2 linked regions of the Coturnix japonica genome follow. The protein of the gene in region 1 purifies or fractionates together with the protein of each later gene. This does not show direct contact. Links are inferred from orthologs where the notes say so. Each region holds a gene or a part of one and is shown on either strand. Other genes may lie near its edges.

The links. The genes of interacting proteins can lie anywhere in the genome.
Region 2: the proteins of NKX2-1 (region 1) and FOXA1 purify together in Homo sapiens (affinity purification with western blotting; 3 studies listed by BioGRID and IntAct, with this or other methods). This does not show direct contact. The link is inferred for Coturnix japonica from reciprocal best matches to the Homo sapiens genes NKX2-1 and FOXA1.

What each region holds. Positions count from the first base shown.
Region 1 is NC_029520.1:33,196,559-33,201,373, forward strand, and holds part of NKX2-1 (homeobox protein Nkx-2.1), read right to left. Parts: exon of another isoform or gene 3,339-4,815; intron 2,096-3,338; coding exon 1,719-2,095; intron 1,168-1,718; coding exon 497-1,167; 3' UTR 1-496. UniProt on the Homo sapiens protein: Transcription factor that binds and activates the promoter of thyroid specific genes such as thyroglobulin, thyroperoxidase, and thyrotropin receptor. Crucial in the maintenance of the thyroid differentiation phenotype.
Region 2 is NC_029520.1:33,708,054-33,714,451, forward strand, and holds the start of FOXA1 (hepatocyte nuclear factor 3-alpha), read right to left. Parts: upstream 3,726-6,398; 5' UTR 3,496-3,725; coding exon 3,424-3,495; intron 1,529-3,423; coding exon 272-1,528; 3' UTR 1-271. UniProt on the Homo sapiens protein: Transcription factor that is involved in embryonic development, establishment of tissue-specific gene expression and regulation of gene expression in differentiated tissues.

The sequences.
Region 1 (4,815 bases):
AATCTCTATATTTACATGCAAGTCCTAGACGCTGGCAAAGGGTCCATCTGCAATCCGAGCCTTCGGGCCATGCCTTACCGACGGGCCCCTGTCTGCAGACTGCTCCGTGGTTATTGGTCAGAATTGGTTTAACATCCCACACAGCAAGCTGGGGGGGAAACGGGAAAAAAGAAAGACCCAAAACCGTCACAGTATCAGAGAACGGAACAAAAAGTCACTCTCTCCCTTTCTCTCTTAGGGGTTCTCAGAGAACCACTCAGTAAAACGGGGGGGCGAAAAAATGCTTTAGGGAAAAAAGAAAAAAAAATGTAAAAAATGAAAAAAAGAAAAAAAGAAAAAAAAAAAACAATAAAAGAGCAAAGGAAGAAGCACCCAGTACTTTGGACAGGACAGAGATTTGCGTGACTGGGAAAATTTGCTTTTTTCTTTTTCTCCTTTTTGTTTTGTTTCGTTTCGTTTCGTTTTGTTCTGTTTTGTTTCGCTTTCTTTAATCCTTTCACCAGGTCCTACCGTATAGTAAGGTGGAGCAGGACATGGCAGTGCCATAGTCAGAAGTGGAAGAGTTCAGGTGAGACAAACTGGAGACTTGGCTCTGCAGGGAGGAAGGGCTGGCCGAGTGCTGTCCCATGTCGGGAGACTGCCCCGCACTGTTTGTCTGATGGCTCTGATGCTGTCCGAGGCTGTTGCCATTGGTGGCTACCGTGATGGTCGTGGCCGCCTGCTGCGGGTGGTTCTGGATGGCTGCGGTGGGGGTGTTGGAGCCCGCCTGGCAGGGCTTGCCATCCTTCACCAGCACCGGCACCGCCACCCTCCTGGGGGACTGCTGCTGCTGGCAGGAGCCGTTCTCCTGTTGCATCTGCTGCTGCGCAGCCTTGTCTTTGGCCTGCCGCTTCATCTTGTAGCGGTGGTTCTGGAACCAGATTTTGACCTGAGTCGGGGTGAGGTGGATCATGCTGGCTAAATGTTCCCTCTCGGGAGCGGAGAGGTATTTCTGCTGCTTGAAACTTCTCTCCAGCTCGTAAACTTGGGCCTGGGAAAACAGGACCCTCCGTTTCCTCCGCGGCGTGCTCTGCAGCGGGGCCATGCTCTTGCTCACGTCCCCCAGGGAGCTCAGGCCGCCCATGCCGCCCATGTTCATGCCCGATGACGGCGCCATGAAGCGGGAGACTGCAAGGCAGAAGGGGCGCGCTGTCAGCGGCTCGTTTCGGCCCCGCGCTGCCCCCGCTCCCGCAGCCGCCGCCTCTCTCGTTCCCCCGCCGCCCGCGGGACCCCCTCTCTCCCGGCCCGGCCCCGCTCGCCCCTCGCACCGCAGGCGTGCCGCCGCACGGTCCCTGCAGCCGACGGCTCCCGCGGCCGGGGGCTCCGCCGAGCCGGGCTCTCCCGTTCCCCCAGCTCGTTCACGGCTCCAGCGGCTCCGCTTCCCTTCGTCCTGCCGGGGTCGAGCGGAGCGCTGGGGGCCGGGCAGTGCCGGCTTCCCTGGGGCTGTGTTCCACGCCGATGCGCGGCTGCCGGCTCCCCCCTCCCGCCTGCCGCCCCGGGAGCTGCCGCGAAAAGCCCGGAGAGGGGGGACGGGGCCCGATCCTCCGGTAGAAGGATGAAAGAGGCGGAGGGGAGCGAGCGGGGTCCGCGCCGACTTTTGCCCCCGACGACCGCGGGGCGGAGGGGCAGAGAGGGACGCAGCCACCCCCCAGTGGACAGCCGGCCCCGGGCTCACTTACTTGAAGAGAAGCGGGGGTCCGGGTTGGTGCCGTACCATCCTGTCGCTGAAGCGCTGTTCCGCATGGTGTCCTGGTAAGGCGGGAGCTCGCTCATGTTGCCCAGGTTCCCATTGCAGTAGCCCCCCATAGTAGCGTGGGAGAGCTGGGGGACCCCTGCCGCTGTCATATGGTAGGCGGCAGTCACCGTTCCGTTGTGGCCCATGGGGTGTTGCTGCATGGCCGGCTGCGAAACCTGAGACTGTCTGTAGGCTGACAAGGGAGCCCCCAAGTTACTGCCCTCCATGCCCACTTTCTTGTAGCTTTCCTCCAAAGGACTCAAGATGTCAGACACTGAGAAAGGAGTCGTATGCTTTGGGCTCATCGACATGATTCGGCGGCTGGGGAGGGAGAAAAAAAAAAAAAAAAAAAAAAAAAAAAAAAAAAAAAAAAAAGAAGGGGAGGCAAATCTTTTTTTTTTTTTTTTTTTTTTTGCCAAATATTCTGGTGTTGCCTTAACGCCGATCTTGTTGGATGTACACGTAACCGAGTGGACGAAGTCCGCCTTAATTGGATTGAGTGGAGGCTCAGGGCTGCCTTTCGTTTGTTTTAGCCAGACGCCAGGTTTTAGGCTGCCACCAGAGGCGGGGCATAGGCACTAAAGCAACAAGACAATAGAAGCCTACATCTTGCCCAAGATAATTAGCTTACATGCTGATGACAAGGTAAACACCTTTAAGTTTTACTTGTCAGGATTTTTTTTTTTTTTTTTAATGTCTTAAAAAAGAGAGAGAGAGAGAGAGAGCGGCAGGGAGATGGAAAGAGAGAGAGACCCCGTGCGCAGAACTCATTTTATTTTTCTCGGGGGTTACAATATTGTGGACGGGTAATGGAGAGCAATGCCTAAAGCCCCCGTCTGCCTGTGTGGAAGGATTTCATATCAGCCGCGGGTGGGAAGGCTGGCAGGCAGCAGTCGGGAGAGCTGCGGGCACGGGACTGCTGCCGCTGGGCACTAGGAGCGACCCTCCTCTGCCCCCCAGATCTGCCCGGAGGGGCTCCGCAGCCAGCGATCCGCAACACCTCCCGCTGCTTAGGCGCCCCGTGGCACCTGGTATCCCAGGCACCTTTCTGTACCCCCTAAGACCCTCGGTGTGAGACCCCCTGTGCGAGGATCGTTTCTCTCCCTGAAGCCACAAGTTCCATTTACCTAAGGCTTTCTTGTCTTTTTTTTTTTTTTTTTTTTTTTTTTTTTTAAACCTCAGAGAGAGGTGGAAGATGCAAGTTTACATAAACGAGCAGCAATTACATTGCTCCGAGAGACACACTACTGAAACAGCATAAAGCAAAGCGTCTCTCGTTATTCCCAAAGGCAAAGGCTGCCCCAGGCTCCCGAGGTCCCTCTGAACCCGAAGCTGCTCCCTAAGGTTATTTATACAGCGCGGGAGCTGCATGAAGAAGACCTCTCGGGTCATTTGCCGCACCACCTTGCTAACGAACTCCTGCCACTTAGAAAAAACCTCAATTTCTGCCATTTTCGGATCAGTTGTGGGATCCTGCGTAAGAACAAAAGAGAACCCACTCCCATCTCCGCGCACACACACGCGGCGAGTAGCCCGTCACAGCTTCTGGTCCCCACGCGCGTACCTCGGTGCGCTTCGGGAGGAAGGGAGGAACCTCCACTGAGCAATTCACACCCCGGCCGATAGCCCTGGGAAAGTCGTTTAATAAAGCGATTACCTGAATATTAAGGAAATTACAGCGAAGGTACAGTTAACCCAGTGACTTTGAAGTGTCAAGTAACTATTTAGTAATTGCACTTGTAAATATATTGGTGCTCGGCTGGTTCGTGCTTAAAAATGCAAAAGTGCACTTGCTACCCGGGAATAACTAAATATCTTTGTCTAAAGTGGCAGCGTAAATAGCCGGTCGCTTTGTGACTACGCTAGATATTAGCGCATAAGGATCATTTTGCCTCAATTGGGAGGCTCTCATTCAGTAGGCAAGAAACCGTTTAGGAGAAAGTAGGTTCCCGTATGAGAGTTAACATCCTTCAAGTGTAAGCCTCAGCCTTGATTACACTTTACAGCTCCGCGAGAGGTGAGCTTTTCCACACACATAAACCGGGGGACTTTCCTTCCGTCAGGCCCTCGGCCCTTCTGGCCCCGCTTGGATCCCCCCAGCCCCAGGGTGGGCTCTTGGGGGTCCGTCGGGTCCCGCGGGCACAAGGGCAGTTTCAGGCTGGGGGCGGCTTCTCTGAATTCGGCCTCTTTCCTCTCCGGACCTTTGGATCACTTCCTTCCAGATCCCTGGGGTATTTATTTCCCCTTACCTCCCACTCCCGCGTCTCTTCTCCCCCCATCCCCCTTTCTGTGCGCATTTTTCAGTAAGATCTTGGGGTTTGCTCCTGAAAAGAGATCTCACCTTGTGGGGTTTTGTTTGTTTCTGTTTCCCTCGGATTCCTCGCCCATCACCTCCGTGCCTGCTTTATTGGCCTTTAAGAACAGGAGGGTGAGGATAGAGGAAAAAATAATACCGAAGGATCCACCATCACATCAATCTCGGGAGGTAGCACGGCGGTGCCCCATAACCCGCGGAGCCGGGGTTGGGCTGGTGGCTGCCCATACTGCACCATCCCGGGCACAGCCGCTTCTATGGGGTGCGCTCGGGCAGCCCCCGAAACGCTGCTTGGTGAAATGGAGCCGAACGAGTCCGGCCCTGACCCTGCTCGGGGGCTGGAGGAGGGGAATTAGAGAGAGAGCAGCGGGGTGAAGATCTTTTAGTGGGCTGACCGCTGTCTGTGGATACTGAGGTTCTGCACCCCGCAAGATCCCACCTGCAGTTTTCAGCCCCTCCGGATCCATCCAGTGAGATGGAGCAGGGCAGCCCCCGATCCTCCTTACCGCCCCAAGTAGCTCTGCGGGGCCAGTCGAGCCTCGGCTGCTCCCCTCTGCCGCCCTTTCGGAATCCACCCCTCTCCTCTCAGCCCCCACTGCCGGATTTGTGTCCGCGCTCCCCAACCCGGGGCGGCGAGGGAGGGAGGTAGGGGAGGGAGAGCAGCGCTCGGCAGGTCCCTGCTTGGGCTGCCTCTGGAGCTATGTTCGTTTACCTGATGCTGCAGCTT
Region 2 (6,398 bases), about 510 kb from region 1:
CTTAAACCTCTACTCGCTTCTTCATCTCCGTATTGGGAAAGTATTGCCACATACCTGTAAACTTACATGAGATTATAGTAGAGCGGGGCGGGGGGCGGAAAGCACAACGAGTAGTTTACAAGCTCACCCATTTTTCTCCTTTTCAATGACACCCTGCGGGGTGCGGGGGATATGTACAGCGCGGGGGGGAGAGGGGGGTGCGGGACGGGGACAGCGCACGGCCATCGGGAAGTAACAGTCCTGTGCACGGCGTGCGCCCCGAGGCAGCGAGCTACGAGGTGTTGAGCACGGGTCTGGAGTACACCCCCTGGTAGTAGGAGGGCTCCAGCGCCGAGGGCTCGATGCTGCCGCGGGCCGCCATGGAGCCGCCGCCCAAGGGCAGCCCGCCGGGGATGGCGGCCCCGTACGAGGAGTACTGCAGCGCCTGCTCGTAGGCTTTGAAGTCCAGCTTGTGCTGCTGCTCTGAGGAGGACATGAGGTTGTTGATGGAGAACGGGTGGTTGAAGGAGTAGTGGGGGTCCCCTTTGAGGTGCAGCTGGGGTTCGTGGGCCAGGGAGTGCGGGGGGTGCGGGACGGAGGCCAGGGCGGGCACGGAGCCGAGCGAGGAGGCGGCGGCCGGGGCCGAGGGCTTCAGTTCGGCGCTAGGGCCGCTGTGGTCCATGGGCTGGGGGCTGGCGGCCGGGTTGGGGCCTGGCAGGGGGGCGGTGGCGTCGGGCGGCGCCGCTTTGCCGTGGGCGCGGGGCAAGGGAGAGCCGGAGCCCGAGGCGGACGTCTGGTCCTTTCGGCCCTCCGACGGGGCTTTGCCCCCCGCCGGCTTCTCGCACTTGAAGCGCTTCTGTCGGCGGAGATAGCTGCCGTTCTCGAACATGTTGTCGGAGTCGGGGTCCAGCGTCCAGTAGCTGCCCTTGCCCGGCTTGTCGGGGTCGCGGGGCACCTTGACGAAGCAGTCGTTGAGGGAGAGGTTGTGGCGGATGCTGTTCTGCCAGCCCTGCTTGTTCTCCCGGTAGAAGGGGAAGCGGTCCATGATGAACTGGTAGATCTCGCTGAGGGTCAGCTTCTTCTCGGGCGCCTGCTGGATGGCCATGGTGATGAGCGCGATGTAGGAGTAGGGCGGCTTGGCGTGCGGATAGCTCCGCTTGAAGCTCTTGGCGTCCCGCGTGCGGCCGAGGTTGGACTGCGAGTAGGCCATGGGGCTGACGCAGGGGTTCATGCCGCCGTAGGGACCCAGCACGTTCATGGCGGCCGGCTGCCCCGACATGGCGCCCAGCCCTCCGGGGCTCAGCGCCGCGCCCATGGCCGCCACGCCGGCCGCCATCCCGTTCACTGCGCCCGCAGAGCCCGCCGGCATGGCGGCCACCGCGCCGGGGCTCAGCCCGGCTCCCAGCCCCGTGTTGGCGTAGGACATGTTGAAGGAGCCGGAGGTCATGTTGCCGCTGGTCGTCATGGTGTTCATACTCATGTAGGTGTTCATGGTGTTCATGGAGCCCAGCCCCGAGTTCATGTTGCTCACGGGCACCGAGGAATAGGCCTAGGGCAGCGAGACGAGAGAGGGTTAGCATGGAGCCCTGCACCGCGGAGCCTCCGAACCCGCCCAGGACGATCGCCGAGAGCCCGAATCCTCATGACGGGAACGGGTAGAGGCTGCTCGGTGACGCCGAGCCCAGCCTCAGCACCGCGGGCCCCTGGCTCGGCCGCCCCGAGTGCTTCGGGGCTCTGCGGGCTCCGAGCCCCGTGTTTGAATCCGTCCGATTACTGCGATCTACGGGCGCACGCCGGTGTGCTAGGGAAAACTTTCCCGGAATAACCGCACGCAGCTCTCCCTCCTCGCTGATGTATATTTCTGTTCCTACAGATAATGTCTTGTCACAAATCAAAATTAAAATATTAGAAAAAAAATCAGCAGCTCCCGTCTGCACATCGTACCTGTGGAAAGCTGCCCCTGTTCGCATTTCCTAACGAGTCAGGCTTAAAGTTCAAACCCACCATCCCAACCTTTACGATGCGCGCGGAGCCCCAGCTCCCACTGCACGGAATTCTCTGTAGCCCCCAACAATCGGGGTATTGCAGCCCGATCCCTCCTCACCGCTCTCACCAAATGCAGAACCTGGAGCCCCAAAATGTGCGTTTCGGGTTCACATCTGATTTCACGTGAGGGAGAAGGGCTCAGAGAAACTCGTACCCGTTCACCTCGAACAAAGGCAACGAGGCCGAGGAAAGGTTGTTAGGTGCGGGTTAAGTGCACTATAACATTCCCCATTATTCCCTACAAATTCCGCGAGCTTCTCAATGCGCTTTGAATTTAGAGGATCTCAGAAACTATCGGAGAGGGCTCCCACCTCACACTCAAATAGCGATTCCAGTTCAATAACACGGGAGGAGAAAAGAGTGGGGTTAAGAAAACAGCAAAAGGGCAGGTCGTGTAACTTTAGGTTCGTGGACAACGAGCGTGGAGAGGAAAAACGAGCGCGGCACTGACGCCCCTCGGGGATGCCCCCCTTTGCTCTGAGCTCTCCCCGCTGAGGGGGTGGCAGCGAGGTGACAGTGGTGTGGCAATGGGGTGGCCGTGGGGTGACACAGAGCTGCGCGGCCCTGCGGGAATGGGGACTGTGCCGTGTCCGGGTGCGCTGATGCAATGCCGGTGTGCACCTCGCGGCTCCCTCACTTCCTTAAAACGGCTCCTGCCAGGGCACCGCTCCCGCTTCTTCCGCGGTGGTGCCCCGCTGCCTTCCCCGCGGACCCCCGCAGAGGCCAAGCTATACCGGGGCCTGGATCACGGCGCTCCCCGGCCCTCTCCTAACGGCCTTCGGGCCGCTCATCACACCACGCCGGAGCACGGGGGGGCCCGGAAGAGGCTGCCGGCTGCCGCGGGTCGGCGGCTGGCGGCCGGGCCGGGCCCCCTCCGAGTTCCCCGGCCTCTCTCTGCAGCGCCGCCCGCCGGCATCTGAACAGCAGCGCCCACCGCGGGCGGGCTGTCTCGCAAAATCCGAACAAACGGCGATTTATTCTTTTTTTTTTTTCTTCCTTTCTTTTCTCTCGGCTCTAACAGGTGAGGCCCAGGCGGCAGCTAGCAGCGTGGGGCCCCAAGGAATGGGAGGGGGGGGCGTGGGGAGCGCGGAGCCCTCGGCCCGGCGCGCCCTGTGCCCGTGCCATATGCCGGGAGGAGCGGGACGGCAACGCGGCGGTCCCCTGCTCCGAGCCAGGAGTTCTTCGGGGTGAGCTCAGCGCTTCCCCCGGCCCCTCCGGTTCTCCTGCGGGCGGTGCGGAGCTCCTCGGGGTTGCTTGGCCGAGGAGAGACACGATGGCGCTGGCGGGAGACGCAGCGCGAAGCTGATCCCCCCTCTCGCTGCCCCTCTCTGCACCCCGGCCCTCCCCCAGCCCCCTCTTCTCCCTCTCGGAGGGACAGCGGACCCGAGGCTCGCTCACCTCCTGCGTGTCGGCGTAGTAGCTGTTCCAGTCGCTGGTCTCATGCCCTTCCATTTTCACAGTCCCTAACATTATGGAACCAACCTGCCCGGTGTAACCATCCAGCCCTCTTGCAAGCGAGCGACGGGTGGCAGGAAAAGAGCCCGAGAGGCCGACCTAGCAGGAAGCCAGCTCCCAGGAGGGGCGGGAGTGCCGAAATCTCCTCTATAATGAAGTCAAAAAGGAGGCAGGGAGCGGTGCGGGGCGAGACAGTCGAGAAAGTGAGGAAGTGCCGGCTGGGATGTGAGTGGAGTTGAGCTGATGTGGATCTTACGTCGCACAAAGTACCCTCCTCCTCCTCTCCCCATTTGTCCGCCGCACAAAGGCGTTCGCACCTACAAAGCCGGAGATGCACCTGCCAGCGAGGCAGCTCCCCTCGCCTGCGGCTCCCCTCGGGGCGGCACTTTATTTGCAAAGCGGCGTAATTGGTTTAAGCTTGCGGGGAAAGAAGGAGAGACGGAGGTGGGAGAGAGGAGGGAGGAAGCCCCCCCCCCCCCTCATAGACGGACAGGACAAGCTTTAGGAGGGCTCACTGGAAATGAAATGAGGTAGATAAGGAAAGGGCAGCCCCCTCTGTTTGAATAGAATGCTAAAGGCCATCCAGCCCTAAAACCCCGAGATTAGGGGCCATATTTACTGAAGTCCAGTAGATGCTCCTCTAACAGAATGGCCGGGAAATCCTCGCACGCTCCCCCTGTTCCTCCCGTCAAGGTACCGGCGCTCGATCCAGATCCCTAAGCCCTCAACCCCGCGGTGCCCTCCACCCGGGACTGTGACGGTGATGGTGATGATGATGATACCTCTTTCTTGGTGTCTTACTTTTAGGAATCATGAGTCACCGTGGTGAGCTGTAACACTCTAGACACCCAATAAATGCGGACAGAGACTTGAATGCGGATCCACCGAGGTCAGCCTCTGCCTGACAAACACCAGGTGAGTCACTGGAACAATTTTATTTCTTTCCTGGCGAAAGCCTCCAGGCCAGAAGGCTGTTTGAGAGCCTTGGGGAGCCTTCTCTGGGGCCGGGCACCATTGCCTTCTTCCCAGCTTTTCTCATGGAAGAAAGAGAATCCTCAAAGGCTGGAGGGCGAAAAGGGGCTACAGAGACAAGGTAAATGGACACTGGACGAAGCTCTTTAAAGTATGGATGCAGGGAACCTCAGTCTTCACAGGTGGATCTAACATGCTCTCATTCTGTCCCTGCCCGGCTCTTCGAGCTTATGCGAAGACCGCCGACAGTTCCTGGGTTTCTCGCCTTGTGCTTTTTCCTTCCCAGAGACTTTTATCATCTGATAGTGGGGGGAGGGGGGGAAGTAAACAAACCCGGAAACAAAAATAAAACACACACACACACACACGCCAACATAGCAAAGCAGAAAACCCAAAACTCAAGTAGCTGTTCGTGGAATGGCAATTTGAAGGGGAAATAAAGGTTGTTGGGATTTTTGACAAACTTAGGTGTACTATATGACACAAAATACAATGCCTGGATCCGAATTTCTTCTTGGCATGTTTATCACCCGGTGAGATACACACCAATGTGTCCTCCAGGGCTCTGTGAGGACGTCCCCACCTCAAAACCGCTTTTTAAGAAGTTTATCAAACAGAGACGCAGGACCGAAATTCAAAGTTACAGGTTATCTCCTCCTCGAGGGCAGTGTTTTAATTTGTCCTCTAAGTGAGTTTCCTTTTTCTGCTCTCCCTTTCTTTGTTCTTTCTCCCCTGTCGCCTTTTTTATTTTCTTTTTTTTTTTTTTCTTTTTTTTTTCTTTAAATTTGGGAACAGAATTAAATCAAATCCCTGAAACAGATGCAAACCTGGAATCATCCAGCGAGAAAAAGGGATGAGAATGTGTCTTCAAGGAAACAAAATTAAAAAGATAAAAGCATTGAGTAAAACTCATCCTCTCAAGTGGCCAAACTACACAAATGGAAATTGGAACAAAATCCAGAGGAAAATCAAACAGATGCTCAAACTGTTGTCTTTATGTATGCACCCTCTCCCTTTCCCTAATGGAAACAGTCTGAACACGGAGACCCTTCGGTACCGGCTCTCTCAGCTCCGGTGCTCCGGCTCCGTTCAAAGCCTCCCAAAATGAGGGAGGGCTCCGGCATCCCGCTGCTCGCCGCACGGTGACCTCGGGGCGGTGCTGCCGCTTCCCAGCATGGCCCCACGGGAGCAACGCCCGGAGGGACGCGAGCAGCCCGCGCAGGGCTCGCCGTGTGCCGGGAGGGGAACAGGCACGGACCCCACGGGCGGCACGTAGCTCGGCATTGGGGCACACGCCGAGTCGCGCTGACACCGCCGTGCTGAGCCGCGCCGTGCCGTGCGCGGAGGCCGGGCTTGTGCAAAGCCGCAGCGCCTCCTGTTGTCCGGCCGCGGCTTCCTGCTCTCGACGCTGCTCCCGAAAGTGAGACTCAGGCAGGCGGTCTGTTGCCTTCTTAGAAGAGAGCGTTTCAGCTCGTTGCACAAATGGATCAGCGCGCCCCAGGCGCTGTCAGCTGCTCCTGGAAATCCCCCCCCAGCCCCGACGTCCGGAAGCCTCCCGTGTGCGGAGCGGCGGAGCGCGGCGGTGCGGTGCTTCCCGTCTGGCCGGGGCTCAGCGCGGTGAGGGATGCGCGGGGAATCCCGAGCGAGGGAACCGTGTCCTTCCGCAGCCCCCGAGGGGAGGAGAGAGCAGGGCTCTGCGGGAATGGAGGACATAGAAAGACTTCTGCCATTCCAGCCGTTAGAACGGTAACCTCGGCCCCCGAGCAATCTCGTTAGAGTCGTGCCGTTTTCCCGGTTTCTCATCAAGCTGTACCTGCCGCATCTTTTTTTTTGCCCGTGGTATGGGACCAGGGCAGGCACCGCGCAGGGACTCCGCACAAACCAAGACCCCCGGCCTCGCTGCGCTCGGGCATTGACCCACGCGTTGGATGGGAGATGGAATAGGC